Linked DNA regions of Diceros bicornis minor. The protein of the gene in region 4 purifies or fractionates together with the protein of the main gene of each other region. This does not show direct contact. Links are inferred from orthologs where the notes say so. Each region holds a gene or a part of one and is shown on either strand. Other genes may lie near its edges. The genes, in order: C1QBP, CDK9, RRP1B and DDX21.

Region 1 (8,014 bases), on a different chromosome or scaffold from region 4:
GGCCAGCAGGTAAGGTGATGTGACCCACTCAGCAAGTGCTGTGGAGCAAGGAGAGGGACTGATGACTGACCTCTCACCTCAGAGCGGAGGGGCTTTCTGTCTCCCAGGAGCAACTGGTGAAGGCACAGTCGTGGAACGGGCTAGGGAGGAGAAGGCAGTCGATTTCGGAGGACCACAGGATGCTCAGGATGGCTCATTCACGGCTTCACTATTGGAAGTTTGCATTGTTTTGCTGGGGCAGGAGAGACATTGAAGGTTTCTGAGCAGATGAAGAACGACTGAGCTGTGCTGTAGGACAAGCGGCAGAGTGTGAGCTGAACTGGAGTGAGGAGAGGATGAGTAGTCAGAGGGAGAGGGAAAGCCCTTTGCTTCCTGAGACATCCTGGTGGATGTTTCGGTGAGGGAGTGGGATGCTGGCTCACCCAACCTGTCTGTAGTGTGGCAGCTTAGATGGCTGTCTCCCTCCCGGTCCTTCCTCTCCCAGGCTGCACTTTCCCTATTTACAGTCCGCCCGCCTTCAGCTCTGCCTCTGTCCCACCCATGCTGCTCCCCGAGGCATCTCAGGTAACCACCTCCTGTGTCAACCTCCACTTCATTAGGCCTGCACTATGGGCTGTGTTTTAGGTGTGGTTGCTCCAAATACCATGTGCTGCTGAGCAGTAATGTTTGGGCTCTTCCATTTCTCGCTTCCCCCTGAAACAGATGTCGATGCCAATCACATCATCCCGCGGAGACACGGAGAGCGTCCGCCGCTGCCTGGCTCACAGCCTCTTCATGAGCACCGCCGAGCTTCAGCCGGACGGGTCCTATGCCACCACGGACACCCACCAGCCGGTGGCCATCCACCCCTCGTCTGTCCTCTTCCACTGCAAGCCAGCCTGCGTTGTGTACACCGAGCTGCTCTACACCAACAAGTGCTACATGCGGGACCTCTGCGTCGTGGACGCCGAGTGGCTGTATGAGGCTGCCCCCGAGTACTTCAGGAGGAAGCTGAGAACCGCCAGAAACTGAGCCGGATCTGCTGGTGCCTGGAGCTGAGACCATAGCTGTCCACATAGCTGACTTCCAGGTTGGCGCCTAGAGAGGTGGCAGGTTTTGATGTAGCGGAATGTGCCTGATTTCCAGGAGCTCGAGAGCGTCTTTGTTTAAACCCTGAAGACTGAACTGTGTAAATGTGTACATACCATTTTTACCTTGGAAACTTCAAAATTATGCTTTCGGTTATTGCTGGGTGACTTTAGGTGACTTAGTTAACTTCTGAGCCTCGGTTTCCTCATCTGCCAAATGAGGGTAATAATAATACTTACAGGGGTGGACTTATGAGGTTTACAGAAAATGAATGCAAAGTACCCAGAGCTGTGCCCGGCCTGCGATAAACATACGATGAATTGTGAGCCCTTATGCCCGATGTTATCGCTTTCTCCATGGTGTTAGTTGAGTACAACAAAACCGCCTGAGTTCCTGTGACTGAGAGGGATTTTCTGGAAGGGGACCATAGGAAATCGCAGAGTTGGATGTTGTCCTTGGATCTATTTTAATATCTATCTGTATGAAGTTTTTAAACAGAAAGCATAAGAGATTGACTTCTGTAGAAGTTTCAGGAGGGAGATGCTGTTGTGTCTCACCTAATGGGCTGGCTGCCCCTGTGAACACTCCCCAGGGTGTGGCCCTCTCAGAGACCAGTAAAGGAGTGCTCACAGGACGCTGGGCTGTGTCTCTTCATCCTCGGTGCCTCTCTGGTTCATATCCCCATCTGTGCTTTCAGGAGATGTGGAAGTTTCCTGGGTGTGGGGTGATCTGTATCTTCTGAATCGTGTCAAGTGTAGACATGGGAAACTGGCCTTGTGGTGTGATGCCTCCAGCATACCCAGTTGCCATTTTTCTCTCTAACTGGGCACATAGAAACATGTGAGCACAGGGAATGACGCCGTGCTACATTTCAGCTGTCTCTCTTCTGGCAGGGCCCCTGGGCAGAGGGCCATTGGGAGTGGGGTGGAGGACAGCGGCCAGTGGTCACTGCGAACCCAGACAGCAGTGGCTCGCCCCACCTGCCACGTCTGGCGTATATATTCTTTATTTTCTGGTGTGTATCTTATTTATTTTCTGTGATCTTTTTGTCCTTCTTCTTAGGGACAACCTAGCCTTGCTGCTTCCTAGCCATCCACCCCTCTCCAGGCTCAGTTTCCACATTTGTCAGAGGGAATTAGAGGGTCTCCACAGTCTCCTCCTTTTCTCATATTCTGAGAAGGGAAATGACACCAAAAGTTCTTCTTAGCTATTTGATTATCAGAAGCAAATAATATTTCCCCAGAGAATGTTTTGCCCTAGAAGCAGCCAAGGTTTAGCCCTTTACTTGTGCTACATTGGTCTAAACACACGTGCAATATTTTCGTCATCACTTACAGAGTGAATGTTGCAGTTGACAAGCAGGGGACCAGACTGCCCCAGAGGCTCTTCAGATTGAAGACAGTGGGTTGTCTCTTCCCTCTGGGTCCAGCGAGCTCTTCTCCGAGCCCGCAGCCTGCTGGCCTGCCCCGTCCTAGGTCCGCTCTGTCCAGGCCTGTGTACGTCCGGCTGGCCCAGGCTTTCCAACGGGAGCCGTGGCCTTGAGCAGGCAAGCTTTTAGCCAGTGTTCAAGGCTGTCTGGGTACTTGTGATTTATTTCTGTTAGAAATAGTTACACTTAGGCCGAACAGGATTCGACAGATCCTATATACCCTCTCTTACTGAATTCTTAGACTTTTAGCTGGCTCTTCCTCAGATCGACTTATTCTTACTGTTGCTGACTTTCTGAAAAGTTTTTCAGAAATTTTTTAAAGTGTATTTTTCTCATTTATTTAATAGAGACCTAGGATCTTTAGCCTGACTTAGTAAAAGGAACTATTGTATTTTTAATAAAGCATTCATCATGCTGGTACAAAATTGGGAGTGGGGTGCTTTATTATGTTCCTCAGCAAATTCTCTATCAAGAGGTGTTCTCTGGTGCAAGTAGAATGTAACTTCGGATAATTTATGTCCATCCTGAACAGTCTCTGGAAATGTATATTCTTTCCTGCCTGAGTAAGGGGTAAATAGCTTCTAAGTAAATGTAAATAGCTTCTAAGTAGTTTTAATGTTTCTGTACAGAAATAAGTTTAACACTGTAACATTCTGGTAGAGTTTTAATACAGTAGTTTTTTATTGGGCTTTTTAAAAAGTTAATTTTTAACATACCTGCTCAGGGATTAATTCAGATTGGAAAATCCATTCTGACTCCACTTGTTACTACAAAGAAATAAAGTTATTTCTGTTGAGCTGCAGGGAACAGAACACTTTAAACTTTCTTAAGGAAGTTAAGTGTTTCACAGTGATGTTGCGATACAATCTTGAGCTACTCTTTTTCAATTGGTAAAATCTCTGATGGTGTGACACCTCTTTTTCAACCTGTGAAATCCACCGCTGGGCAAATCACCAGCTCCCATGCGCAGCTTCGTGTCAGGAGATGCGCTCCAAGCAGATCACACACCTCAGGTGTTTGCTCTCTGCTTCTGGTAGTCATGGAGCCTGAAACATCCAGAGCAGCACAGATTTCATTACAAGGGGCAGGACTGCCAGCACTGGTCCTTGGTCAAGACCCCGATGTAATGTCGCATCTCTGCTGGTTGTAAGGAGATGCCAGAATGGAGACACGTTTTTGCTCTGTGGGTAACAATGATAATGTACTGTGATGCATAAATCCATTTAATCCAGCTGTCAGGAAGTACTTGGGACTGTGGCCAGGCATCTTAAGATACCATTACTTGAGCATATAAGGAAACACTGCACCTGTGGGGAAGTGATGGTTTTATTGTATTTTATTTGATTAGAATATTATAACTTGCAGAAGAAATCAAGTTGGTTCAGCTTTATGTTGTATTTTTAGAGTCTGGTCTTGTTCAAAACAGACATAGCTCTACAGAAACATCAGTTCTTGTATATAATGCTCAAATTTGCACATGAGTACCAAGTCCATTAAAAATGAATCTTGTACATGATGTGTGGCTTCTTTTTGAGTCTCCTTTCCCTTCTTCACAGAATGCTGTGTAGAATATATTAAGAATTAGTCTTATCTTGGCCACTAATTTGGGATGACTTACTTTCTTGGTAACATATATCCTAGGTGTCCTGGTAAGGTGGGAACATCAGTTCTTTTTTTAATTTTTTTTGGTGAGGAAGATTGTCCCTGAGCTAACATCTGTGTCAATCTTCTGTTTTGTATATGGGACCCCGCCACAGCATGGCTTGATAAGTGGTGTGTAGGTCTGCTCAAGCATCCAAACGCCTGAACCCACGAACCCCAGCCATGAAGGGGAGGTCACGAACTTAACCACTATGCCACCAGGCAGGACCGGAACATCAGTTCTTAACCTAAATCTGATGGAAGCCATGGCTTCTTGCCTCCAGAAAAATGACGTCCCATCAGAACTTGGGTGCAAGGTTGGAGGGTGCAGAGGGGCAGTGGCAGGAATTAACCAGGGATCCTGCCCTTCAGGAGCTCCCTTGTGGTGGAGGGGAGGGGAGGCTGCCAGTTAACCTCGCGGTGCCAGGAGGTTTCTGCTGAGAGGAGAGTGAAGCACAGGGGCGAGGTCCCACAGGCGTGAGTCCTTATTTGTTTCATAGAAGAGAGGAGGAGGTTCCTGGAAGGCCTCTTAAGGGGGATGACCTTGGAGGCTGGTCTTGGGAGCTGGGAGCGGCAAGAGCGCATTGAAGTCATAGAAAGCCTGGCGTGCTTTGAGAACAGTAGATGGAAATTTGGAGAGCAGCCACTGGAGAGAACTGATGCTGGCAAACTAAACAGCCTTGGACACCAAGCTCGGGCCTGCTCAGCTAAAGTTCAGTTACCGGAGTCAAGGACCCCCCGGCAGAGGGCGCAGTCCCGCCCACGGCGCCCTCGGTCTGCAAAGCGACGGCGCGGAAGTGCTTCCCGGGTGAGGGCGGGACTTCCGGCGGCGCGCTCGGTCAGGGGGTGCCTTGGCCCCGGGCGTCCTCCGCATCCGCACGTGTCTGCCTCCGCCTGCGCGATGCTGCCTCTGCTGCGCTGCGTGCCCCGCTCCCTGGGCTCCGCCATCGCCGGCCTCCGCGCCGCCGCGCTCTCCCCGGCGCTCCGGCAGCTGCTGCAGCCCGCGCCCCGGCCGTGCGCCCGGCCCTTCGGGCTGCTCAGCGTGCGCGCGGGGTCGGAGCGGCGGCCGGGCCTCCTGCGGCCTCACGGGCCCTGCGCCTGCGGCTGCGGCGCCCTGCACACGGAAGGTGAGTCTCGCGCACGTGGGCCGGGGCCGCGAGGGGCAGAGTCTTGGATGGGGTGGGGGCCCGTGGCGCGGGCGGGGAAGGGTAGACCGCGGGTAGACCAGCCGGAGCCGTCGCCCGAGGTCCGGAACGTGTTCCCATTTATTGACAATCAGAGGGTTAAACCCACGTGTGATCACATTTCCCCGATCCTCCAAGTGTTTAATTTTGAGGGGAGAGATACGGTTAAATCTGAAGGCTGACTTTATCCTTAGTCTCTCGAAAGTGGAACTTTGGGAAGGCTCAGGGTGTGGTTAAAAGTAGCGTAGTTATGTCTGTTGGCAAGTGAAAGAGGATGACGGGATTTTCACATGTTGGGGTATATGGGGTAGCCATTCTGGTTCAAAGTGGATTCAGCTTGAACTAAAGAAGCCTGATTTATGGTCTATCAAAGATACGTTGTACATCTGATTTGACCATTAAAGAATGCACTCTCTTAAGAGAAGAATGCATTGGGCCAGCCCCCTGGCTTAGTGGTTAAGTGCTCGTGCTCCGCTACTGGCGGCCCCGGTTCGGATCCTGGGTGCGCACCGATGCACCGCTTCTCCGGCCATGCTGAGGCCGCGTCCCACATACAGCAACTAGAAGGATGTGCACCTATGACATACAACTATCTACTGGGGCTTTGGGGGAGAAAAATAAATAAATAAAATTATAAAAAAAAAAGAGAAGAATGCATACTTCCCCTCCTACGCCCTATCAGTAACGCCTGTATTAGTCCCTTTCCCGCCATCAGGGTCGTGTTGACCTGCTAATCTGCAACTGAATACCTCTTTGAAATTTTGATGAATATGTATCCTGGATGTGTTTAATGTATGTTCTTTGGTCTAAAACGGTTTAAGATTGTATTGAAAACCATGCTTTTCTGGAATGCTTTCTTCCTTTGTGGAAACTGCCTTCCCAGATTATAATCCTCACCCTGGCTCAAGTAAAACTCACCCTACCTCTCTTATCTGTAGAATGGTTATCAGTTATTTTGCATGGTCAGGGTAATTGAGAATTCTCTTGCTTTTGGTGAAACGTGGTAATGGTTCATTGTTCGCAGTCACTTTTGCAGAATTCCCACTGGTGCCGTTAGGGCATTTTTACAGATGAGGACACAGGCTTAATGAATGTGAATTGGACTAAGTTCCCAGGCACCATTAATAGCAGAAGTGTTAGAAACAGTCCAAGTCCAGATTTCTGGGTGCAGTAACAGGTTATTTTTATGTTTCAGACTGGCTCTTCTTTTTCTGTGTCTTATGGCTTTTCATTGTAGGGGACAAAGCTTTTGTCGAATTCCTGAGTGATGAAATTAAGGAGGAAAAGAAGATACAGAAGCATAAGTCCCTCCCCAAGATGTCCGGAGGTTGGGAGCTGGAAGTAAATGGGACAGAAGCCAAATTAGTACGGAAAGTTGCTGGAGAAAAGTAAGTATTGGGGGCCTGCGGACTCCAGGGGACCAAATCCATGACCCCGCAGGACCTGCCCTGAGGCATCCCGGAACAGCCTTACAGTGCTAATGGAATCAGTTTGATCTCAGGTTTACAGTGCTGACTCATTACACTGCAGGCTCTGACTGAGCAAAACAAGGCCCTGCTCTCAGATGTTTTCAGTAGGTGAAAATGCAAGATATGTAACTCACGTGTAACAGGATGGGGTCACAGTATAAGAGCTGCCATTAGCAAGGAGGGGAGCTTTTGACCTAATTCAGCTGTTTAAGTCTATGATCTGTTTTGAGTGAACTTTTTTTTTTTTTTTTGCTTTTTCCCCCAAAGCCCCAGTAGATAGTTGTATGTCATAGCTGCACATCCTTCTAGTTTCTGTATGTGGGACACAGCTTCAGCATGGCCGGAGAAGCGGTGCGTTGGTGCGCGCCCAGGATCCGAACCCAGGCCGCCAGCAGCGGAGCGCGAGCACTTAACCGCTAAGCCATGGGGCCGGCCCTGAGTGAACTTTTGTATATGTTGTGAAGTCGGGTTTTGATTCTTTTTTGCCTAGTGGTACAGTGTGTTTTTCCCCATATATGGGTCAATTTTGTCTGCTGTAACTTCACCTAAACCATTTTCCAAGGGTAAGTCATAGCCAGTTTGGGGCCATTATAAATAATGTTCTAATGAACATAACTGCATTTCTGTGCCCAGGAGCTCAGTTCGGTCAGCACTGTTGCAGATTAGACAGATTTTGTGCTTAAACCTCAAACTACCATTATTCGATGGGAAGTGGCTTCCTGGCAAGGCAGCCACTTAGCGCAGTTACAGTGTGCTGTGTACGCAGAGTGCCTGCTGGAGTGCCACAGCCTAGCAGTGCTAGTGCCACATCTCACCTCGCTGCAGTTTCGACTCAAATTTTGGAACATGAGTTGTCAGATGATTCTTGCACCTTAAAGTTGCCATTAGTGGGGCCAGCCCCGTGGCTTAGCGGTTAAGTGCGTGCGCTCCGCCACTGGCGGCCCGGGTTCGGATCCCGGGCGCGCACCGACGCACCGCTTCTCCAGCCATGCTGGGGCCGCATCCCACATACAGCAACTAGAAGGATGTGCAACTATGACATACAACTATCTACTGGGGCTTTGGGGGAAAAAAAAGGAGGATTGGCAATAGATGTTAGCTCAGACCTGGTCTTCCTCACACACAAAAAAAGAAAAGTTGCCATTAGTTGGTGTTTCTGGCCTGCTTTGTGATGATAAAACTTCCCTCAGCTACTGAAGAATGAATCTGTCCTGCAGGGTGGT
Region 2 (7,095 bases), on a different chromosome or scaffold from region 4:
CTTCCTGGGAGGATGAAAGGAGCAAATGTTGGCCCAGGCCAGTGCACTGTGGCCTCAGCAAACCCTGGACTAGGGAACGGCGGCTGTTGCTGAGGGATGGGGGTGGTTCAGGCCAGGAGCAGACTGGCACTGGCCAGGAACACCCCGGAGCAGGCGCATGGCGTGAGAGCCGGGAGTCCTAGCCCCGGCCCCGGCGCGGCTGTGTTGCCGTGGTGGAGGTGCCTTGTCAGTGCTAGGCTGGCCCTGCCGTTGGCCCGGGCGCCAGGGCAGTTGCCGCGTCCCTGGGAGGATGAATGGGGCTCAGTGTGGCGGCTCCGCTGAGCTGAGAGCCCCCTTTGTGCTGCCTTGAGTGGCCGTTGGGAGTGCGGCTGGGGACCTGCTGGCGGGTGGCTGTCCCGCGGGCCCTCCTCAGCCTGCGCTGGAGGCCAGCCCAGCCCAGTCCACGCTCTGCAGCCCTGAACACACAAGTGCCTTCCTGCCCCCAGGTCTTTGCTTGCGCTGGACCCACACCTGGATGCTACTCTTCCCTCCACTGGCTCCATCTTTTGCTTCCATGGAGTCTCTGCAGGTCTAGAATGAGCCATAGTGTCCCCAGGAACCCTGCTCTGATTTCTGTCCCCTCCGTCCTTGCCCCTCTCCCTCAGTCTATGCCTCAGTTGCCTGGTTTGGCCAGGAACCATTAGGATTGGAGACCTTCAAGTTCATAGTCAAAGGCATTGGCCCAGGCAGACCTGAGTCCAGACCCCACCTGCATGACCTTGGGGAAGTGACATCACTTCTCTGAGCCTCGTTTTTCCCATCAGTAAAATGGAACAAATACAACATCTTCACATGATCCTGTAGCGATGAAATAAAACATTTGTACTGAGAGTGTCATCCACGTTACAGACACTTTGTTTTCATGGCATGTTCCAAGCAGACCTCATGCTCCCTGAGAGAGAAACTAGCCTTATGCATCCACACTGGCCCCGTGCCTACTATGCTCTTGGTCTCAGTCGATGCCTTTCCCCAGCTCGACCCAGTTGTCTGTCCTGGGGGCGGTGTAGGATGATGGTAAATGACCCTGGGCTTTGAGAGCAAAGAGACCTGGCTTTGAATCCCAGCTGCAGAGCTTCCTGGCTGTGTGGCCTTGGGCAGGCCTCTTTACCACTCTGAGCCTTAGTTTCCTCTTCTGTAACTTGGGCCCAATAATAGCAACCTCCTAACAGGAGTGCTGGAAAGTTCCAGGAGGATGACACATATCAACACTGCCAGGCACAGAGTCAGTACCTGGCTGATGTGGGCAGAACATCATGGTGTTACAGGGCTCAGGGCATCACACAGCCATGCTCAGTCCTGAATCTCTATCCAGTGACCCCTTGTCCCCCAGATGTATGAGCAGCCAAGAGTAGCCCACCCATGAGCCTGTCTTCTCCTTCCCTCCATATGCCCCATCCTGTCTCTGCTCAGGGGAGGAAAATCGAGAGTTCAGGCCAGGGTCAAACAGCTGGCTAGTGGCTCCCGTTCGTACTCCGTGCCTCAGTTTCCCTACGTGTTAAATGGCAGCAGGACCAGGCGCTCTCTCAGAGCCTGGCCAGCCAGTCAGCAAACATTTACTGAGTACTGGCCAGGTGCCTGGCCTTGCCAGCTTAGCCAATCCATGGGGCAGGAACTATTTCCCCCGAACCAGCCAATCAGATGTCAAAGTCAGAGAGAAATTGTCTCTGGCCAGGACCTAACTTCTCACTTCCACGTGGGCGATCTGGGCCCCAGGCCTGGGCAGCCTGGGCAGCTTTCCGGAGGGCTCCGGACCACTCCTGCCTGCCTCCCTCCATCGGGCAGGGCTGAGGGCCTGAGGCTCCAAGGGGAAGTGACTGGCGGATGTTGGGGTTCAGACCAGGGATGGCAGGGTGGAGGTGATGACACCACCGGAACCCTCTGCTGAGGCGTCTGCCCACAGGATGTGACTTAGGGAGGCTCGTGGGAAACAGGCAGGGGCCCCAGCCTGAAAGTTTCAGGGTAGAAGCCACCAAAAACCATAGCAGACCCCCCAGTGCTACCATCCCCTCCCACACCTCCCATGGGCAGCCAGGACACCAAGCCCAGCGGTGCTCCGCCCTAGCTGTGCCCCAGCTCCACCTCCAGCCTCCACGGGCGGGGTCCTGACATGAGTAAGTGCTTGGGGTTTGTGCCAGACTGACCTGGTTCAAACACCAATACGGTCACTGGCCAGCTGTTTGACCCTGGTCAGGTGATGTCACCTCTGAGTTTCAGCGTCTATACGTGTACAATGGACGTGGTAATAGTACCCACCTCGTATGGCTAAGAATTGAGATAATTCCCATGAAATGCTAAGTGTACAGCTTAGACCATTTATTTTCCCTCAATAAATTGTAATGACTACAATTATTGTTATTTTCTCCCTCCTTGCCCTCTCCACCCCCAACTTAGCCAATGGCCTCTCTGCTTCTAATAGTGTACCCATGAAGCTGACCCCAGAGCACTCCCTGACACCACACTCAACTGCCTAAAACCCTCGCTGGCTCCACAGTCCTCAGGAGAGGGCTCCCTGCTCCTCACCTGACCCTCAAGGCCCTCCCTAGCAGGACCCTCCCCCAGAACGGGGTCTCTGGGGACACGAGGATCACCAGATCCTTCAAGGCAAAGCCATGTAGGGTAAGAGCTGGGAGGAAACCCCAAGGGCTTCCCGCAGTTGGAGAGGGTACTGGGGTGCAATCAGAGAGCACAGCCCTGAAGGCGGGAAGGCCAGGGAGTTAGGAAACAGGAGGGAGATTCTGGTGGCCACAGCTTGGGAGGGAGCTGGAAAGAGCTTCAATTATCACAATTTGGTTTTTCCTCAAGACAGTGGAGGGAAATACATGTAGACTCCACTTCAGAATGATCTAGTGTGCTGTGAGGGGGACAGATGGAGAGGCCAGACTGGGGAGGCCAGGACTCAGGATCCATCAGCAGAGGACTGGAAAGGAGGGTCAGATTGAAGGGTCACAGAGGAGGTAGGAAAGACAGCTTTGCTGGGGGCTGGTTGTTGAGTAGAGTTGGAGGAAGAATTGAGAGGATCCTGGAGCCAGGAAGGTATGAGAAAGATGCTGGGGGTTGGTGTAGAGGAAGGGGGCACAGGGTCAGAGAAGAGATGGGTGAATGGTGGGCTTGGTGCCTGGCATAAGGACCACAGGCCTCAAACACACCACTGCTATACTCCTGGCCAGACTGTAAATAACCTGAGTCGGGAGAATCCTTTACAGATTCAGACAGACCAGGTTCGAGTCCCAGTTTTGTCACTGTGTGACCTTGGGCAAATGACCTTGCTTCTCTGAGCCTCAATGTCCTCATCTGTAAAATGGGTTAGTGATCCTGACTATGGGGCTGTTGATTTAGGATTCAGCGGAACGCCCAGCACTTCCTGAGCACACAGGGGTGCTAAGTGAATGCTAGCTATTTTTGTGATTACTGATCCGGGCGCAACTCGGCGGGGACCGGGGTCCTGTGGGTCTCATCCCTGCCTCCCAGAGAACAGGGGGTCCAGGGCTGGAAGACCCGCGCGTTACTCCCTCGCCGCCTTCAGTGTCGCCGCGCCCCCTGGCGGCCGTCGGTTGCCATGTCAACGGCGGGTGGCTGGGGCCGGGGGAGGCGAGGCGGCGGCGGGGGCCGTTCTCCCTCTCAGGACCGGAGGCCGCTCCCTTGGCGCCTCCTGCCTTCGCTTGTCGGCTGGGGGGGGGGGGCACTCCGAACCAGAGAGGAAGGGGCCTCTTGCGGCAGCTCGCGTGCGGGGGTAAACTGAGGCACGCGGCGAGGCGCCCCGCAGCCAGGTGTCGAGCGCGGGGCCCCACCTCCGAAAGCGGAGGAGGGGCCGCGGGCGGTGACGCGCCGAGGGCAGCCGGCGGACAGTGGGCTGGCGGGCGGCGGTGGCGGCGGCGGCGGCGGCAGGTGCGGCCGCGGAGGGTGGGAGGGAGGAGAGAGGGGGCGGGCGGAGGGGGAGGGGAGGGCGAAGCCGGGGCACCTCCCCCTTTATAACGCGCCCCCTCCCGGACTCTCGGGCCGCCTCCTCGTCGGCTCTTCCCGTCTCGCCCCCTCGCCCGGCCGCCCCGGGCCCGGGCCCGGCCAGGGAGCCCCCAGGCCGCGGCTCGGGGGCCGCCCCCCCGCCCGTCGACCCGCGCAGCCCGGCGGAGGCGGCGCCGTCGGAGGAGGAGGAGGAGCAGGGCACTGCGGCTGGCCCCAGATCGGGCGCCAGAGCGGCAGCGGCTTCGGCAGCAGCAGCGGCCCGGGCCGATGCAGCGGGACGCACCGCCCCGAGCCCCAGCCCCGGCGCCCCGGCTCCCCGCGCCCCCGATAGGGGCCACCGCCAGCAGTGGCGGCGGCGGAGGCGGGGGCAGCGGCGGCGGCGGAGGCGCCTCTGCAGCTCCGGCTCCTCCTGGCCTCCCGGGAACTACAAGTCCCAGGGGGCCTGGCGGCGGGCGGCGAACGGAAGAGGCGGGGTCGGCGCCGCGAGGCCGGAAGTGGCCTTGGAGGCGGAAGTGGCGCGGCCGCGGAGGGGCCTGGAGCACGGCGGCGGGACCCGGAGCGGGCGCGGCGGCGGCGGCGGCGGCTGGGGGCGGCGGCGGCGCGCTGGAGGCGGCCATGGCAAAGCAGTACGACTCGGTGGAGTGCCCTTTTTGTGATGAGGTGTCCAAATATGAGAAGCTCGCTAAGATCGGCCAAGGCACCTTCGGGTAAGGCTGAGCCCCGAGGGACCGGGAGCCCTGGGCCTGCACCCCTCAGGGCTGACGCCGGGAGGCCCTGGGCCAGGTCCGAGGTGGTCGGGAAGCCACCGAGCCCCAGGCTTGTGCCTTGCTCTCGCTAGGCCGCGCCGCAGCCCGCCGGAGCCTGACAGAGCCGGCTGGCGGGGAGGAGCCTGAGGCCCGTGCTGGGGGGCGGGGAGGGGTTGCAGAGGGGAGCCCGTGAGGGGAGCGAGATCTTTCGGAGAGACGCCCGGGTGAGGAGAAGGGACTCAGGGAAGGAAGTAGAGGCTCGGAGAGGGGCCGCAGATACCGGGTGGTGAGGTAGCTGAGCGCCCTGGGTCCCCGGCCCAGCCCCGCCCTGGAGTCCCTTCTTTCCTGCTCTCCTCCTCTGCGGGGGGAGGGGCGGGCCCTGCGGAAGCGGCCTGATGAGCCCTCCTGGGTCCCCTTCTCGGCCTGCAGGGAGGTGTTTAAGGCTAAGGACCGCAAGACCGGCCAAAAAGTGGCTCTGAAGAAGGTGCTGATGGAGAACGAGAAAGAGGGGGTGAGTACGGGTCGGGACGGCGGGCCTGCCAGCTCTCCTGGGCACGGGGTTGGGTTTCCATCCAGCGTCTTCGAGAACTCTCACGTTGAGATTCACTGTATGTGCGGCAGTTCGGGAATTTCCATATCCCAGGGAATTTGACTTCCAAATTAAATCTTTTAATTCAAACATTTTAAAACATTTGATATTTCATTCTTAGGTAAATATGCTTGGGGCCAGGAGGGGGAGCTCATGCTTGCACTGAGTGCAGCTTGGTTCCTGAAGTTAGGTGGCCTTTAAACACTTGATAGCATGCAGTTTTGTTCAATATAAAAAAAACTACATGCAGTACCTTTAAAAGGATAACTAGTGCTCAATTGAAAAGGAGTAACCTGGTTGTGTCCCCTCTCTCCCATCTTAGCTCTAGTCCAGCTTCCCAGAGACCTGCTTCTTAGCAAGGAAATTTTTCTAATAGTTATTTTTGTTGGTTTTGTTACCAGCCAGCAAGTTAAACACAGGCATAGAGCTAAAATTTGAAGGTTAAAGAAACTATGAAGCATTTAGTGATTAGTAGTAAAGTGTTCGTGTTAAGTACTGCTATTTGAATTCATTGTCTTAAACCAGCTCCTTGAGGGTGCATACCGATCTTAGACCTATTTTACAGCTAAGGCATCTGAAAGCTGATTTCAGAGCCTGTGATTTTACTCTGTCTCCTAACCTGTGCTCCTGAGGACTGATCTCATGGCTGGTTCCTTGGTCTGTAATGTGCTCACTCACTTGTGACCCCCTCCTGTCGTTCTCCCCCTGCAGTTCCCCATTACAGCCTTGCGGGAAATCAAGATCCTCCAGCTTCTAAAACATGAGAATGTGGTCAACTTGATTGAGATCTGTCGAACCAAAGGTAAGTCTCTTGGATTTCATCGCTTTTTTCAGACGGAGAAAATGAGCCTTGCAGCCTAAGGCTGTGTTTGCAAAGTTGGAACTGGACACGCCTCACTTGCCTGTTCTTAACCCAGACATACCAACTGTGACTGCTTTCTCTGGTCCTTTCATCGTAGCTGGTGCTTCCCCAGGGCCTGCCACAGCACCTGGCCCAGAGGAGGCACTCAGGAAATACTTTACCAGTGAAGGAATGCACAGCCGGATGTCCGGGTGTCCATTGGTTGGAGGGGGTAGGAGCTGGTTGTGGGAAAATGAGTTGCATGTGGGATTCGTAACTTTCTTTTTCTTGCTCCCCTCCCCCGATTCTTCCTGCCTCAGCCTCCCCCTATAACCGCTGCAAAGGCAGTATATACCTGGTGTTTGACTTCTGTGAGCATGACCTTGCTGGGCTTCTGAGCAACGTCTTAGTCAAGTTCACGCTGTCTGAGATCAAGAGGGTTATGCAGATGTTGCTCAACGGCCTCTACTACATCCACAGGAACAAGGTGGGGACCAGAGTGGGAGAAGAAAGGCCAAGGCTTGGGCTGACCTTTGCTCTCACTGCTGGGTGGGTGTGGCTAAAGGACCCCTGGTAACCTGACTGAGCCCTCAACCTTGTGCTTCCTGCAGATCTTGCACAGGGACATGAAGGCGGCTAATGTGCTCATCACCCGTGATGGAGTTCTGAAGCTGGCAGACTTTGGGCTGGCCCGGGCCTTCAGCCTGGCCAAGAACAGCCAGCCCAACCGCTATACCAACCGTGTGGTGACGCTCTGGTACCGGCCCCCGGAGCTGTTGCTCGGTGAGGACTCCCGAGCGGGCAGAGGGGGGCAGGGACTGGGCACTTACCCGGCCTCACCCCCCCACTGCCAGGGCTTCCTGAGCCGCTGGCCCTGGGACATTGCGTCTCAGGAGGCCCTCGGGCTCAAGGGGCCCTCC
Region 3 (7,717 bases), on a different chromosome or scaffold from region 4:
GTCGTTCTCATGTGTGATCTCCTCATTGCAACGAGCCAGTAAACTTGACCTCGTCCTTCCTGATGGCTGTAGGTTGATTAGGCTAGGACAAACATTTAGATTTTGAAAAGACTGTGAAACAGCGAGAAGAAATGCCAACTACGAGTTAGATACAGGGCCCCAAGCCTGGAGGAGAGGTCTGGGCTAGAGATAAATCTAGGAGCCGCTGGCATCAAGATGGTAACTGAAGCTATGTGTGTGCACAGACTGCCCACAGAGAGGCCGTGGAGTGAGGAGAGGAGGCCTGGGCATGAGCCTCAATCAACACCGCTGGCTGAAAGGCTGCTGCAGAGAAGGAAGAATCAGCAAAGCTGACTGAGAAGTGGCCAGAGACCAGTGGGAAAAGAGGGGACTCCACGGCCTGAGGAAGGCCAGGGACGGCGAGGCAAGATCTCCTACGGTCTAACGTTGATCAAGTCACCATAGATTCATTTGTGGCCCTCTTTTGGAAGCTTCATAAGTTGATTTTGGCAGACGATTGAGCTCCAAAGACTGACTTGTGCTAACCAACTTATGAGACCCTGATGAATTTTTCAGAATGCCAGTTTATTAATTTGCAGTGAGAAATATAAGCACCTTGCAGGCTGACTCTGCTACTGGTCAGCACTTTCCCTCCCTGAAGATAAACGAATGCGGATGACCAATTGCTCTCAGAAGGTTGCTGGATGAGCACGGGATCCAAACTAGGGAGGTTAAGACAATGACCTGGAACTATGGTAACCAGTGACATGGAGCATACCCAGCAAGGTTCCAGTCTCCAAATATGACATGGAGCATATCGAACATCGAGTCTCCAGATGTTGAGACTTCATGGGAAGGACTACTTACAGAGGGGAGAGCAGGGACAAGAGACCCAACAAGGTATGGTGAGGCACCCAGGCACTGGCAACAGCCCTCCAGCTGAAGTTACAAAGGGAGAACACAGCATTACTAGAGCCCAGTGAGAGCTGGGACTGTGGAGGAGGCCCCTTGGTGGGAGACACCGCTGTGGAGGGAGCAGGAGGAAACATCCCAACCTCTCTCTCCGCCCACTGAGGCCTTCCATTGGTGAGTACTGGCAGCCAGCAAGGAAGCCAGAGGCACGGTCTGCAGGAATCCACCTCCCAGAGCACACCAGAGGACAGAGCATCTGAGGATTCCAAAGAGAGAATGAACAGGGCAGGGAGCTATGATAACCACAAGCACTCTCCCTTCTAACTGTGTATGGCTGCCCCCTTGACCAGACACATCTACACAAAGCAGAAATCTTACTGCTGATTCCAGACACCTTTTTGTCTGGACTAGTGCTAGAGACCCGACCTGAGCCCCCCAGATGCACCTGTTCTAGAGGTCCCGCGGTAGTTAATGGCGAATAGTTAAATGCAGTGTGGTGAATCAGCCTTAACCACCAAAGGCTGATTTAACTGGCAAGTGCTCCATCAATCCCTGAACATCTCCCAGAACTTCAACAGGCTCCCAGACTGACATCTGACATAACGGCTCAGCTCAAATCTCAAAATCTTAATGGACAAGAACCAGCAAGCCTGAACTTGAATCAGTGCTAGAAGCTGACCCGTCCATCAACCTAGAGACAAGGAAACACATCTAACTACCTCTACAGACACATTCAACTCCACGCAAGTTTCCCCATGCCCAGATCCTTAACTTATACGTTTTTGGAGTAGAGCTTTTCAATTATAAAAGTACCGTTACATGTTGCTTAACGACAGGAGTACGTTCTGAGAAAAACACCTTCAGGCGATTTCGTCATTGTGTGACCGTTAGAGAGTGCACTTACACAAACCTAGACGGTATAGCCTACCACACACCTAGGCTCCATGGTACTAATCTTATGGGACCACTGTCGTCCATGTGGTTCGTCATTGACCAAAAGGCCGTTATTCAGTGCATGACTGAATAAAATTCTTCTGCCAAGGAAAAAAGGTGGAGAGAAAGAGAAACTGGTAACAGATATTCCTAAAAGCTGGCAACTCTTCCTCCAACACAAACTTACACCTGTCCAAAAAAGTTATCCATTTGAGGGTCCCTCCCTTTCTTATGCCTTATCTGACTCTCCCAAAAATAATTACAAGGATTATAACAGTACTTAGAATTTACTTACAATTACTTTATAGCAATTTACATAAGGTAAATCTGCTGAAACAGATGTCTGTCACCATCAATGACTGCTAAAAATGAAATAAAACTCACTTTTTTCCATAATCTTTAATTTCTGGAAGCTTTCCAGTACCTCCCCATTCAGTATCCTGGGTAAGAAGTCCTGGATTTGCATCACCTCAGTGGTCAGCCGTTCCAGATCCTTCTTTCTGACTTTAACGAATTCTTCCTTAGTTCCCACGTGCTAAAAAAGCAAGCAGATTTTAAGATTACATTTCCTTCAGATCACTAGAACCCGCAGCCCAGGCCAGCTTGCTTCCTTTTCTTCAGGGCCTCTTGAGTTCATAATTGTTTCAAAAGCACGTCTTCACCTAAAGTGCCCTCTGCTATACACGTCATATCTTGAGAGCCGAGCCCCAGCCTTCAAGATGGGAACCAGTTCCCTTTTCTCACAGGCACATGAGAGAAGCTCTAATCCTGAAAACCAAAGAGAATGCCAGCATCTTCCTGAACGTTCCAGCGCCAGGCTAATCAGGAGGGAAGGACGTTTCCTGGGTTCCCACTGGGCGCCCAGCCCTTTGCTGGTCATCTCATTTCGTGGTGTTCACCTCAGCCCTCCGAGGTTGTCCAGGTTGGAAACCAAGGCCTGGGGAGGATGGGTGGCCTTCTCAAAGAAACGCCATTAGCAGGGGGCCGAAGCAGGATGGGAACACGGATCTGCCTCTGGGGTCCGAGCTCCTCCTAAGTCACTGCAGTGACGCCACTACGAGCACTCAGGGGACACTGGTCACCCGTGAAGCCGCATTCTCCCGGAGCACACCCGAGCCCCAGCACAGCGAGGGGCCCTACGGGGCGCGCTGGCTCCGGCGCCGTCGCCTCCCGCTCGGTGCCCACCGGCCCGCCGCGCCGCCCCCACCCCCGTCCAGGCCACGCTGTCCACCCACGAGGCCCAGGCCCTTCCCGAGCGTCCACTGAGGCGCGGGGTAGACAACCGCAGCAGCTGCGGCGCCGGGCCCCCTGACTGACCCGGCAGGCCTCCACAGTCTCCCCGGCCTCGCCCATGGCCGCCACGGCCTCGGCTCCCTGCGCCTGCGCGGCAACGCGCCCTCTGACCTCACACGCAAGAAAGCGCGGGAATGCGTCCACGCCGAGGGGTCGAGTACAGAGAGCCACGAGGCTCAAACTTCATAGAGTTTGCGCAGCGCTCTCAGTCTCGGGGACTGGGGGTGGGCTCGGCGAGATCCCGCATCGCTCTTCTGGCTCAGCCGGGGCTTTAAACTTGTTAACTGCAAAGCAGGACAGTGAGACCCAGGATTAAGTGTCAAATGAGATAAATCGAATTGGCCTTTCTTGTGTGTCTAGGGATGCTAGACTAAGGGGCGATGCGGTCAAGGGAACCACCACCCACGCGGCTGGTGACCACTCTCACCCGCTTGTCTCTGAGCCCCATTAGCAAAGGTCGAAGCTTTCCGACGACAGCTCCTTGGGGAGTCCGCCCCCCCAGGGAGCTTTAGTCCAGTCGGCTGGCTAAGTAACTGAGATGACCACCTGAACTTGGAGACGTCACCGGGTCCATTCTCTTGCCCCAATACGCCCGCTGAGTTCGCGAAACATGGTGCATGCAGCCTGTGGGTTCAGGCGTACCCAGTTACCGCACAACTAAGACCATCCGTCTCGGAAACCCGCAGGAAGCCGACACTGCCCGAGCTCCCGGAGTGCGTGCTCTCCAGGCCTGAGGGCAGACTCGCAAGCACACGCTGCAGATCCCCGCCCTGCCCCTGTCCAGGAACTCGTCCTTGTCCTTGCCCCTGCCCTAAGACCTGCCCCCGCATCAGGACCTGCCCTGCACCTGCCATATCCTGACCATGCACCGGGACCTGCCCTGCACCTGCCATCACCTGACGCTGCACCAGGACCTGCCCCAGCACCGGACCTGCCCTGCACCTGCCATATCCTGCCCCCGCACCGGCCCTGCCCTGCACCTGCCATATCCTGACCCTGCACCGGGACCTGCCCCCGTACCTGCCTCTGCCCCCGTACCGGGACCTTCCCTGCACCTGCCCCGGGACCCAGATGCTGGAGGGTGCTGCCTCTGCCGGCAGTAGAGGCCCAGGGCGGCCCATCGATGGAGCTGCCCTCAATATCACGCCAAAAATCCCAAGGACGGCCCTTCTTCCCAGTCTCCACCCGACCGAGGCGGGCCAAGGACTCCAATGCAACTAAAAACCCGTGTATTTCGTAGGACAGCTGCCTATCGGATGGGGTTTTTGTGGAGAGAGCTTAAAGATTCTAGACCACTTAAAATTGGCCATCCGTCTCTTCCTGGCCAAGACTCAACGCTGGCTTAGCTCGCCGTCAACGGCCCCGAGCTTTGACGACCTAAAGCCCGCGGAAGGGCGACGGCACCACGCGAACCCACGCCGGGCCGCTCCGCCGGCTCCCAGGTCGCGCTGCGAGCCGGGGCCTCCATGACGCCATCAGCGCGCGCGCCGCCGCCCGCGCCGCTTTCTGCGCAGTCGCGGCCCGGACGGCACGGCGGCTGGGGTTCGGCGGCGGCAGCGGGAGGTGGAGGCGCGGCGGGCTGCGGCCGGGGATGCTCCAGCGCACGCGATGGCCCCCGCCATGCAGCCGGCCGAGATCCAGTTCGCTCAGCGGCTGGCGTCCCACGAGAAGGGCATCAGGGACCGGGCGGTGAAGAAGCTGCGCCAGTACCTCAGCGTGAAGACGCAGAGGGAGACAGGTGGGCGCCCGGCGGTTAGCCGCGCCACATGGCGGCCGGGCCGGGGCCGGGGGAGCAGGGAGAGGGTCGGGCACCGGCTCGCACGCCTGCCATTCGCCCCGGTGTGTCCGCACCGTGGGCACCGCTGCCTGCTGGGTCTAGTCCGGTCTTACGGTCGAGGGGCTGCGGCCGCAGGGGTCAGGTAGCCTGCTGAAAGTCACAGCGAGGGGAGAAGCCGAGAATAGACCCAGTCTGCCTGGCTCGGAGCCTGCGCCTTGAATCGCTAGACTCAGCCCGATTTTTTTCTGGTGTGCTCTTCATTGATTCGCGCCTTCGTGTGACCGACGCCTTTAGATGCTGGGGTTCCAGGAGAGCAGACAGAATCCCTACCCTCGAGGAACTTCTGCTAGTAAAGCTAGGGGGCGTAGATAACTAAAACCGAGCTCGTATGAGTGCAGGGGCGGAAATGGAAGTCAGGGCAGGAGGGAGCTCCGCTGCATAGGCAGTTCCAGGAGAGCCTCTCCGGGGTGGTGGTCAGCAGATCTGAACAGAGGCAGGAGGGAAGAGCGGAGCATGCCCTAGGAATGGCTGGAAGACCAGTGAGTCAGGGAGGGCGATGGTACTTTGACATGGAGTCGGAAAAGTAGGCAGTGGCCAGGTCACACCGAGCTTTGTAGTTTGCGTTTTTAGTTCAGTGGGGTGCCTTGAAGGATTTCATTTACCTGATCCAAAATACATTCTGTAAACCCTTGGGTGAGCACATGAGGTATGAACTGCACTGTGGATAGAGGTTTTATGTTGCGCTAGGAAAAAGTTTGATTCACTTACTGCTAACAGGAATACATTTAGAGTATACTTGAAAAAATAGATATCTCCTTGTTTTACTTATGAAGCGAAATCACGAAAGACTACCCAGGAAAAAGAAAATGCAATTTTATGCGAAGTCTGCTAGAAAGAGGAATGAAGACCAGAATTCTTGACTTCAGTTCTATTAGGAATCTCCTTGAGAGATTTAGTTTACTTTGATGGTTTCAGGTATCACATATATGCTGAAAGTTCCTAAACCTAAATTTCTAGCCCAGACCTTTGCTACTTTCAGCTCAGCTATTCCCTACTAACCTGACATCTCCACCTGGATGTCCCACAGGCACCTCAGATGCAGAATGCCCAAAAGTGACTCATTTTCTTCACCCCAAAACCTATTCTCTTCTGCTGCTGCCCTGCCACCTGTGCTCTCTTATGTTGGTTGCTAGTTCCCACCATCCCCTCAGACTCTAGCTGGACACAGTATTGTCCTGGACTCTGCTCTCCCTCATCCTCTCCCCCTGCTCCACGTCCAGCATCCCTTGGTCCTACCTCTTTTGTCTCCTGAATTACTCTGTCCTGACCAAAGGCTCTCTTTATCTCATCTAGACTCCTGCACTTTCCCGCTTCCCCACTGATCTCCTTACCTCCATTTGTCCCCCCTTGAACTTGTCCTCCACAAGCAAGCCAAGAGTCTTCTTCCTAAAACACCACCTTCCTGGAATCCCAGGCCTGCAGATCATGATCTGTCTTCCTTTTCTCTTTCCACCTCAGCGCCTATGTGACTGCTTCTCGCTCCATCAACAGGAAGCCACTCTTGGTTCCTGGTGTACAGTACACCATTTCTCACCTCTCTGCCTTTGCTTCTCTTCACTCCAAAAAGATTCCCACCCTTGATCCACTCCCAGCATTCAGTTCAGTATCACTTCCTCCAAAATGCCTTCCCTATCATCTCACCCCCACTCCTCTAGGATTCTGAAAGATACAGTATGTCTCTATTGTAGCACTTAGCTACATTGATTCTTAATTATGTGTTAATGTGTCATTCTTCCCCCAAAACACTGTAAGCTTCCGTCTGTTTTCTTAGCTGAAAGTGGGAGCATATCCAGGCATACGAGGGCCTGACTGTATACAAGAGCAGAAGAAAGACCAGATGCAGTACATATGGAGCTGAGACAGCCAGACAGGCCTGTTGCTCAAACCCCTTTGCAGAGCAAGCCCAGGATATGAAATGTATGTTGAGGCGACGCGGGAGCGTGAGGCCAGTGTGCTTACACCAATGCCCCAGAGTCCTGCCTGGTTAGCGCCCATCACACCTAGAGTTACTTGTCTTGTAACTCTTGTTCACCACTAGATCCACATTGCACAGAATATAGTGGGCCTTCAAAAAAGGATCTGCAAAGTGAGTGTTATAGACGGTGATGGTGGGACAGATGAACAAGGTCTCTGCCACAGCTGTGCTCTGTCAAATTAGAAACACGAGTTTGGAAATAACTTGGCCTGACATTTGAATCTCATTGGTAGGCTGAAATTTTTTTGCATCTTGTCTAGGCATAGTAAAGGCAATCTGAAATTTTACTTACTGATACATGTAGCCGTCCATCGTAGGTAGCTTTGTGATTTTGAAAACAAATTGGAGATCTTCGTAGTGCTTAAAGCAGCTCAGTGTTGCTCTGGCGCTTTAACTGCTCGTGTGGGGCCTCCACGGTCATAGAACGGTCACTGTGCATGGTTTTACTCATTAGGGCTCATTGGTCCCTGTTTATTCATGCATTCATGTCTTTGGCAGTGAAAACACAGAGAAAAATCCCTGCCTGTTTGAGCAATTCTGCAACTTTAAACATTTAACATCTACTAGAATTGGGATATACGTTAAAGTCAACCTGTGACAGTTTCATTTGCATTCTTGCTTTCTTTTGGGGGCACGTGAAATAGTACATCTTACAGTTGGTGGTGTCTTAGATTCAGTGCCAGTAATAGGGGAAATAAGTGTTTTTCTTACAATAGGATTAGAGGTCTCTCGACCCAGTAGTTAGAGCTAAGAGCTGTGTGTGTTTT
Region 4 (7,925 bases):
AGATTATCCAGGGAAAGTATAGGAAAAGAGGACAGAGGAACCCAGAGGCACACCAATGTAGTTACTGCATAGCAGAGGAAAGGGGATGCCATTGAGAAGGGATGATGATAAGAGGGCAAAAAGCCCGGAAGTGTGAGGCTTTCAAAGGAACTGGAAGACGATCCTGAAATGGCCACTGATTTTGGCAAAAAGGAGACGTTTGACATGGGGAGCAACAATATTAATAGAGTGTAAGAGTAGATGCCATTTAGCAGTGGGTTCAGCAGGAAATGGGAGTTAAAGAAGTAGGGACAACAAACATGAACAGTCTTCTAGAAATTGGGCTGTGAATAAGGAAGAATAAGTTAAAGCTGGCTGTAGAAGAAAGGACAGGAGGTTGCAGTGAGAATTTTGTGTGTGGTGGGAGGAGATGAGGGAAATTTGAGCATGTTGAAATACTAATATGGGAAGGAGCCAGAAAGGAGGGAGGGGGAAAAAATATATGATGGAGCAAAATCCCTATGAAAACCCAGAGGGATGAGATCAAGCACACACTGGAGATTTTAGCCTTAGGTGGCAGAAGCACATCTCTAACGTGTGATTATCATGTAGGTGAGTTTGCAGGTGTCAAGGTATAAAAAGCTGAGAGAGTGCCTGTCTGATGTCTTCTATTTTTTCCTGTAGTATTCTTGCATGGTCATCTACTGAGGGTGAAGAAGGAAGTAGTAGGTTAGGAGACTTGAGGAAAGTGGAGAAATGCTGAGGTATCAATTATTAGAACAAGATGGAGAACTCACCAGGCAAACTGAGGGTCCCAGGCAGCTTTGGGGGTCCAGCTGAGATTAGAGACTAAATCTGTAGTGGCGGCAGTTAGAGTGATTGAGTGATTTCCTATAGCAACACTCAGCTTTCTCTTGTAGGAATGGAGATGGGAGACAGTTGATTGAGGGTTGGAGTTTTGCTCTGAGATGAAAGGATGACAAGGTGAAGATGTTAAGGACTCTGCAAAAGTGATTTGAGTAATGGTCCATGGAGTCCAGACTGCCTAGGGGTTGAAGTGGAGATGGGGTTGATAAGAGGGAGAATGTAGAAGGGGCAAGGGATTAAGGTCAGTAAGGGCTGTCTGAATTTGAGATTTCACAACTGGAGCAGTTGGGGAGGAGAAAGGTGCAGAGTACGGTAGTAGGTTGTTGGGGGCAAAGGTTATTTCAGTTGAGGTGGTCCAAAAACTGAGACGCCAGGTGTTATATGGGTGATTTTCATGGACAATGAAGTCTCCTAGAATGAAGACAAACCAAGACTAAGGAGGGAGAGGAAGACTAAGCCAGGTGCCAAAATATCAATGAATGGGGGAGGTTGGTAAATTACCTGAATTAGGAGGGGTATGCGGTGATACTACCACCTACCTTCAAAGGGACAAGGGTATTCACATGAAAGTCAAGGAGTAATAGTTTGGAAATGGCCTTGAAAGAAAGAGGACACTGCTACCAGGGTACATAGAGTGTGAGGGAATGAGCAACATATGTGTGAGATAGCTACAGGGGAAATATTTTTCAGGAGAAGCCAGATTTCAGTTAAGCCAAGGAAGGAGAAAGGACTCTCAGTGCTGGATTGAGAAAGGGGGAAATTTTGATTATGGGGAACGGCGTTCCAGATAACTATGACTCGGGGGAAAGAATCTCAGTTGGCTGTGCATTTGAGTAATTGTGAGCTCTGGATTTATAACCAAGGTGAAGTAGGGGCTCCATTCCTACTAAAGTGCATGAGTTAGAATATGCTGTCTTCAGTTAGAATATGCTGTCTACCTACAATGTCCCAGGGACTATGTTTGGGGTACAAAGGTGAATGGAGTACCCAGTCTCTGCACTCAGGAACTCAGAATCTAGTGCAATAGATAGACACATAAACTTAGGTCCATAGCAATGACTAAATGCAATGATTTGAGAGCTCTGCACAAGGGCACCCAGCCCAGCCCAGGAATGGGGGTGGGGATTCAGAGAAAGCTTTTTGGACATGATGACTGAACACGAATTAAGTCAGGTAAAAGAAATGGGGATGTGGGAATGGGCATCCAGGCAAAGGTACAGAATAGCTAATAAAACTGTTAACAAAGTCTAAGTATGGTAAGCTAAGTAGCTCTTGTTGCTGGGATCTTCACTATGAGGAAAGCAGTGGTGAAAACATAGCAAGAGTCATATCTTGGAAGGTTTCTTAGGCCTTGTGTTGGACAGCCATTGAAGGGTTTCAGGGAAGAGAGTGAACGAGATAAGCACGTAGCTAAATTCCAGCAGGGTGGAGATGGACTTAAGGGGTGCACTAGCTAAAGGCTGGCTTCTCTATTAGCAAGGAAAGTGGAGCAAATCCTAACAAGATTAAATAATAACTTTCCATATCTTCTGGAAGGAGGAACCGGGGCAAATTCCTAACCAAATTCTCAGCTTTGGGCTGCAATCAGCCACTTATCTTTACTCCTTCCTCATAAAGCCTAGCACCTTCATGACTCCACTTTTGGCTCTTCAGAGCCTCCTGTTTGGTACTCTGTGCCTAGTGTGGTCACTTAACAGCTATTTGAACTTGAATCAGTTACCCTGATCTTCAGTTTTTGAATTTGTAAATAATATCTTTTATTCCCTTCAGCATTAGAAATTTGAATAATGAATTCACATTTTGGTGTGAATGTCCAAGAGCCTCTTCTCACATTGTTTTTGTTTTGTATATTTTGGGGGTAGTGCTTAATAAGTTTTTTAAAACCATATTCCTTTTTTTAAATATTAGTAATATATGTCCATTGTTGAAAATTTTAAAAAACGCAGAAGCAAATGGAAGAAAATAAAAACCACCCATAATCACATCACTCAGAGATAATTACTGCCAACATTTTTGTTGTGTAGACTTTCAAATTCACTGCATGTATGTGTGTGTGTATACATACTTTTTGAAATAGAAATTCTCCCAATTATATGAAAACATATTACATCATCTACATCAGAGGAAACTGGTCTGGCAGAATCAATATTCAAGCAAAACTTCACATTTCCTATCAAATGTATATAAGACCCATTTCTTATACTTGTTACTGAGTTTTATACTGATGACTAGATTTAATACAGTAATTTGGCCACCTTTGAGCCAAAAAGGGCCTGTTGCATGTTTCTTCTTGGAATTTTGGCCTCGTGCCTATGTGTAGGAATGTTAAAAAGGAACTTACATACTTTATAAGCCTTGACAACAATTTTCCATTTACTCTCTTGTTGAACATCTGTTGGTAATAAAAATGTCCCTGTACTGTTTATAGCAGTTATCACCTACAGCAGTATCACGTAGTTTTGTGGTTTATTAACCAGACTTCAGGTTCCTAATGCCAGGATGATTTAATTGCTTTCCTGCCTGGGCATATAGCTAAAATTTATTTCAAGGGGTTCCTTCCCTCCCCTGACTCCCCACATTGCCATTTTAATGATCGATCAACATTTAGTGACAGGTTATTATGTGCCAGGCACTGTCTGAAGTCTTAAGGATACAAGGATAGATAAATTAAGGCTCCTGGCTCAAGGATGTCACAGAGTTAAAGCATTGTATATTTATGTATATTTACATAAATTTATCTGTTAAATTGAGACTGTGAAACATCAATAGTTCGTGTGAAACATGAAATTTTTCCTTTAAGTGGTCAGACCTGAGTTTTTTTTGTTTTCTTTTGCTGAGGAAGACTGGCCCTGAGCTAATGTCCGTGCCCCTCTTCCTCCACTTAATGTGGGACGCTGCCACAGCATGGCCTGACAAGCAGTGCGTCGGTGCATGCCCAGGATCCGAACCCTGGCTGCCAACAGTGGAGCGCGGGCACTTAACCGCTATGCCACAGGGCTGGCCCGACCTGTGAGTTTTAATAGCTCTCATTTATTGTGCTCTATGTGCCAGGCACTGCTAAACCCTTTTCATCCATTATCTTAATTTTCTCAACCGAAGAAGTAGGCTTTGTTATCCCCATTTCATGCATGAGAAACTCAGGTTCAGATTAAGTAACGTACAAAAATCACAAAGCAAATAGTGCAGGTTTTCAAAGCCCGGCCTGATTTCAACCCATTTTTAAAAAAAAGATTTTATGATGAATTGGCTCCCAATTCTTTGGATCACTAGTTCTTCACAGGAAGTTTAGCCACGTTGTCATAGATCATTCAATGGACCACTCCTTCAACTGCTTGAATTAGTATATTGTCCAAATTATGCAAGACTAAGAGCGGTATTTTCTAATAGAGGTCCGTGTGGTTTGGCGCCCCCTTCTCCTGGTCTCAAGGAAGGTTTAAGTGCCTCTCTCTGCCTTTGGAACAACTGATACTCCTCCATCTCCCACCAATCTATAAAGCTTCTTGGAGACTAAGGCTTGTGTATTGTCTGTTACTGAATCCTACCCGTTTCTCATACCTGACACGGTGAATGCTCGGGGGATGTTTGTTGAGTGCACGCACGAATGAATGACCAAGCCCGACTGAATTCTAGTTCCTATCCAGGCCTGTGAGTCTGGGCGTCTCTTTCAGTGTCGACGTTTCCACAAGACGATCAAGAATACACACCTCGCGTATGTGCGCGTGAAAGGATCTTGCAAACTCGAGGAATCTAAAGCACTGAAGAGGCGCCATTCAAAAGCAACTACAGGTCTTCATTTATCAGGCCAGGGCTAGCGAGAATCCGGCCAGTGTTTGAACGACAATACAAGGCCAACCTCTGCGGTTCCTTCCAGTTCTGCCTTTCTGTAAGTGCCTTCTAGTCCCGGCGCCGTAAGCAGTCCATTCACCAAGCGCAGCCAGCAAGAGATGCCGGTGCTTTGCACCTACCACGTGGGCCCCGGCCTCCCTGGGGCTTCCTGCTTCCGCAGGAAATGCTTTGTTACGGGAAGTGACGAAACTGGGTGGGCTGAAGGGGTAGGACAGTCTCTTCCTCTCCACGCGGTGGACGAGAACAGTCGGCTTATCCATCTTGTGCTGAATGATGCCGGGGAAACTCCTTAGTGACGCGGATTTGGAATCAGACACGGCCATGGAACAAGTGGAGATACCGCGAAAGCAAAATGAGAAGGTACGCTGAGAGGAGCGCGGCCGCGGGGTCCGGGAGAGGAGGGGTGCCGGGGCTGGAGCGCGTGGCGCGGACCCGGCTCGTCCGGAGCCCGGCGTGGGTCTCGGCCAAGGGCGCCCGGGAGTGGTTCTCTCGCGGACGGTGGGCGCGCCGCCCGCCCCACCGAGCCCGCGCCGCCGCGCGCCGGCATCTCGCACGGGGAGGCCGGGGCGGGTCGGAACTGGAGAGAGGCCGGGTGTCCCACGTGGTCCCGGAGTCGGGGCGCCCGGCACCCGGTGCGCAGAGTTGGCCGCTCACGGTTAGGCCCTCCGTTGTTGGCTCAGGCTCAGACCCAACTCTGGGCGTGAGCGTGCGCGGAGGGGATTGTAAGTCATGTCAAGGTAGGGACTGATGCTTTGGACTAGACTAGCGAGACCTTCAACCCCTCGGCACACGTGGGCGGCGCCTGCGGTGACATCCCTTTTACCCTGGAGAGGGAAGTACAGTTTGTGTTCCGGTAAGCAGACCTTAGAAGACGAAGTAATTCAGTTCCTCTTAATGTTTATTGACCAGATTTCCCGTGGAAATGTAAGGACGTGTTGTGGTGCTAAGTTTACTCCATATCTTGATATAGGCCAGTCGTGTGCAGTAGTCTTAAGTGACATTGTTGATGCTTCCTTAGATAGTGATTTAACTTGTGACTAAGTCTCTGTTCTGAGATAAGGTCAGTGGGAGCAAAGATTGTCCCTCAACTGTTGTACGTGACTTAGAGGTTTTTTTTCTTGCTGTTTGTGGGTCTTTTTGATGGGGAGCTTTTACAACAGCAATATTTTGGCGTCGTCGGAAGCCAAGGGATCGCAGATTTGTCGGCACAGGTGGGGAGGAATTGGTCCTTGTTTACCTGCGCTGTATTAGCGAACCTGTTCAATTGTGTGATGCTCAAATTAGAAGGGACATGACCAAACTCCATTACATTCCAAAAGAGACCACCGGGATGGGAAATCCACTCTTATTTGATGGAACCAAGGGATGAAAGAACTGAAGCCTTGCAGGGAAGACCGGATTATTTTTCAGATGCCTGAAGGACCATCGTGTGGGAGAGATTACTCTTCATACTTGATTTGAGAGCAGAGGCCAGACCTGAAGTTTCAGGGAGGCAGATTTCAGCTCAGTGTAATAGTCTCCATACTTCTGGGATTGGCCTGGAGCTCTACCAGAGAGGTTTTAACAGAGGCTCCAACACCTGTCTAGTTGTTTTCAGTAATATGAAAAGTTGGAGTGGGTCAGACATTTCAGATACGAGCCATAGTCTGGTATGGTTTTGATGTTTCACCCCTTCCGTTTCCTTGTAATTTGTGCTTTTTTCCCCCTTCTTTAAATTAGGTACATCTTTTTTACACATGGAGTGATAGGTTGTGGGGTTTTATAGCTTTTTGTTCATAAAGTGTCTCTGTAAATGCGTTTGTGCTTGTGAGATAGACAAGACATATTATGAATCACTGTTGTACAGGAATTCTGCAGAAAAAGAAATCTGCTTAACATCATCCATCGGTGGATGTATATGGCCTGTTACTCTATCAGAATTAAATTAAGCTGTACAGGATGACTTTCAATAGTAGTATTTACCGTAGAGCCTGTTAGAGCATCCCATGAACCACCCCAAATCCCTTGTGAAATTTTGACTTTACAACCTGTTCAACCAACATGAATCGTTACCAAGAGGCATTCTCTTCCAAGCTAATGAAATTACTGATATATACTTATCTCTGTATAACTAAGAAATGGTACTAAAAAACATACTGTTTGATTTTTGCCTTATTGCAAGGTGAAAGTACAAATGTTGAAAAATGCCCCAAAATTGTGTTCTTCATAATTATGCAACCTTGAAAGAATCCAGAATTGATGTACTCTACAAATGTATAGATGCTTTGTTCAATGTTTGTATTTTCTTTATTAATTTTTTAGAAAGGTAGAAAAGAGAAGCCAAAATCGAATAAGACTGAAGAGGCAGCAGGAGAAAAGGAGGAAACTATTTCCCCCAAAGCTAAAAAAGCTAAAAAGAAAGCAGGGCCTTCTGAGGTTGACATAAATTCTCCTAAATCCAAAAAGCCAAAAAAGAAAGAGGAGCCATCTGAAGACAGCATTATTTCTCCTAAAACCAAAAGTGTGAAAAAACCCAAGGGGCCTTTTGAAGAGAAAGTTGTTTCTCCTAAAACCAAAAAAGTAATAAAAAGTAAGGAGCCTTCTGAAGAAGAAATAGGCGCTCCTAAGCCGAAGAAGATGAAGAAAGAAAAGGAAATGAATGGAGAAATTGGAGAGAAAAGCCCCCAACTGAAGAATGGATTCCTTCATTCTGGACCTGACTCGAACTCCAGTGAAGCTGCCAGTGAAGAAAGTAGCAGTGAGTTAGAGCAGGTAAAGTTGCATTTTAATAGGTGGAGTGTATCTTTCATTGTTTTTTAAGAAAAATAAATAGGTAATCACTACATGTATTAATTATGTAGTAATGGGAGGAAATTTGATGTGTCAGCCCTTCATAGGGGTCCGTTGAGCTGCAGGGTGAAACTTCATCTTAAAAATTGCATGGTGTCTGAATGCCTCCTTTGCAAATAAGCACATCTTTTTAAGTTTAGGGAAAGTCTTCTCTCCACACTTGGTCTGCTTATTTGCAAGTCAGAAATCAACAGGAGGGATATAGTTATGCGAATAGGTGCTAGCTTCCCTCTGAGGGGTTTCACCAAATAAATCACGATTAAGTGGCACCACTGAAAAGGTATTTGCTTGACTGCATAAGTCTTTTTGTTCAGGCCATTAACTAACTTGAGTTGAACAAGATGATTTAAATGTCCACTTGGAAGCTAATTCTGTTACCTTTCAAAAACTCAGTCATTAAAGAA

Evidence for each region.
Region 1: the proteins of DDX21 (region 4) and C1QBP purify together in Homo sapiens (co-immunoprecipitation; 3 studies listed by BioGRID and IntAct, with this or other methods). This does not show direct contact. The link is inferred for Diceros bicornis minor from reciprocal best matches to the Homo sapiens genes DDX21 and C1QBP.
Region 2: the proteins of DDX21 (region 4) and CDK9 purify together in Homo sapiens (affinity purification with mass spectrometry; 3 studies listed by BioGRID and IntAct, with this or other methods). This does not show direct contact. The link is inferred for Diceros bicornis minor from reciprocal best matches to the Homo sapiens genes DDX21 and CDK9.
Region 3: the proteins of DDX21 (region 4) and RRP1B purify together in Homo sapiens (affinity purification with mass spectrometry; 3 studies listed by BioGRID and IntAct, with this or other methods). This does not show direct contact. The link is inferred for Diceros bicornis minor from reciprocal best matches to the Homo sapiens genes DDX21 and RRP1B.

What each region holds. Positions count from the first base shown.
Region 1 is NC_080757.1:12,097,404-12,105,417, reverse strand, and holds the start of C1QBP (complement component 1 Q subcomponent-binding protein, mitochondrial), read left to right. Parts: upstream 1-5,000; 5' UTR 5,001-5,039; coding exon 5,040-5,265; intron 5,266-6,559; coding exon 6,560-6,710; intron 6,711-8,014. Other genes in the region: ATP-dependent RNA helicase DHX33, read left to right, coding at 703-1,011.
Region 2 is NC_080767.1:35,786,526-35,793,620, forward strand, and holds the start of CDK9 (cyclin-dependent kinase 9), read left to right. Parts: upstream 1-4,095; 5' UTR 4,096-4,266; coding exon 4,267-4,706; intron 4,707-5,174; coding exon 5,175-5,256; intron 5,257-6,045; coding exon 6,046-6,136; intron 6,137-6,495; coding exon 6,496-6,662; intron 6,663-6,786; coding exon 6,787-6,958; intron 6,959-7,095. UniProt on the Homo sapiens protein: Protein kinase involved in the regulation of transcription.
Region 3 is NC_080766.1:43,112,627-43,120,343, forward strand, and holds the start of RRP1B (ribosomal RNA processing protein 1 homolog B), read left to right. Parts: upstream 1-4,714; 5' UTR 4,715-4,746; coding exon 4,747-4,876; intron 4,877-7,717. Other genes in the region: HSF2BP (heat shock factor 2-binding protein), read right to left, coding at 2,230-2,380, 3,163-3,198. UniProt on the Homo sapiens protein: Positively regulates DNA damage-induced apoptosis by acting as a transcriptional coactivator of proapoptotic target genes of the transcriptional activator E2F1.
Region 4 is NC_080745.1:37,067,656-37,075,580, reverse strand, and holds the start of DDX21 (nucleolar RNA helicase 2), read left to right. Parts: upstream 1-4,913; 5' UTR 4,914-4,962; coding exon 4,963-5,052; intron 5,053-6,993; coding exon 6,994-7,443; intron 7,444-7,925.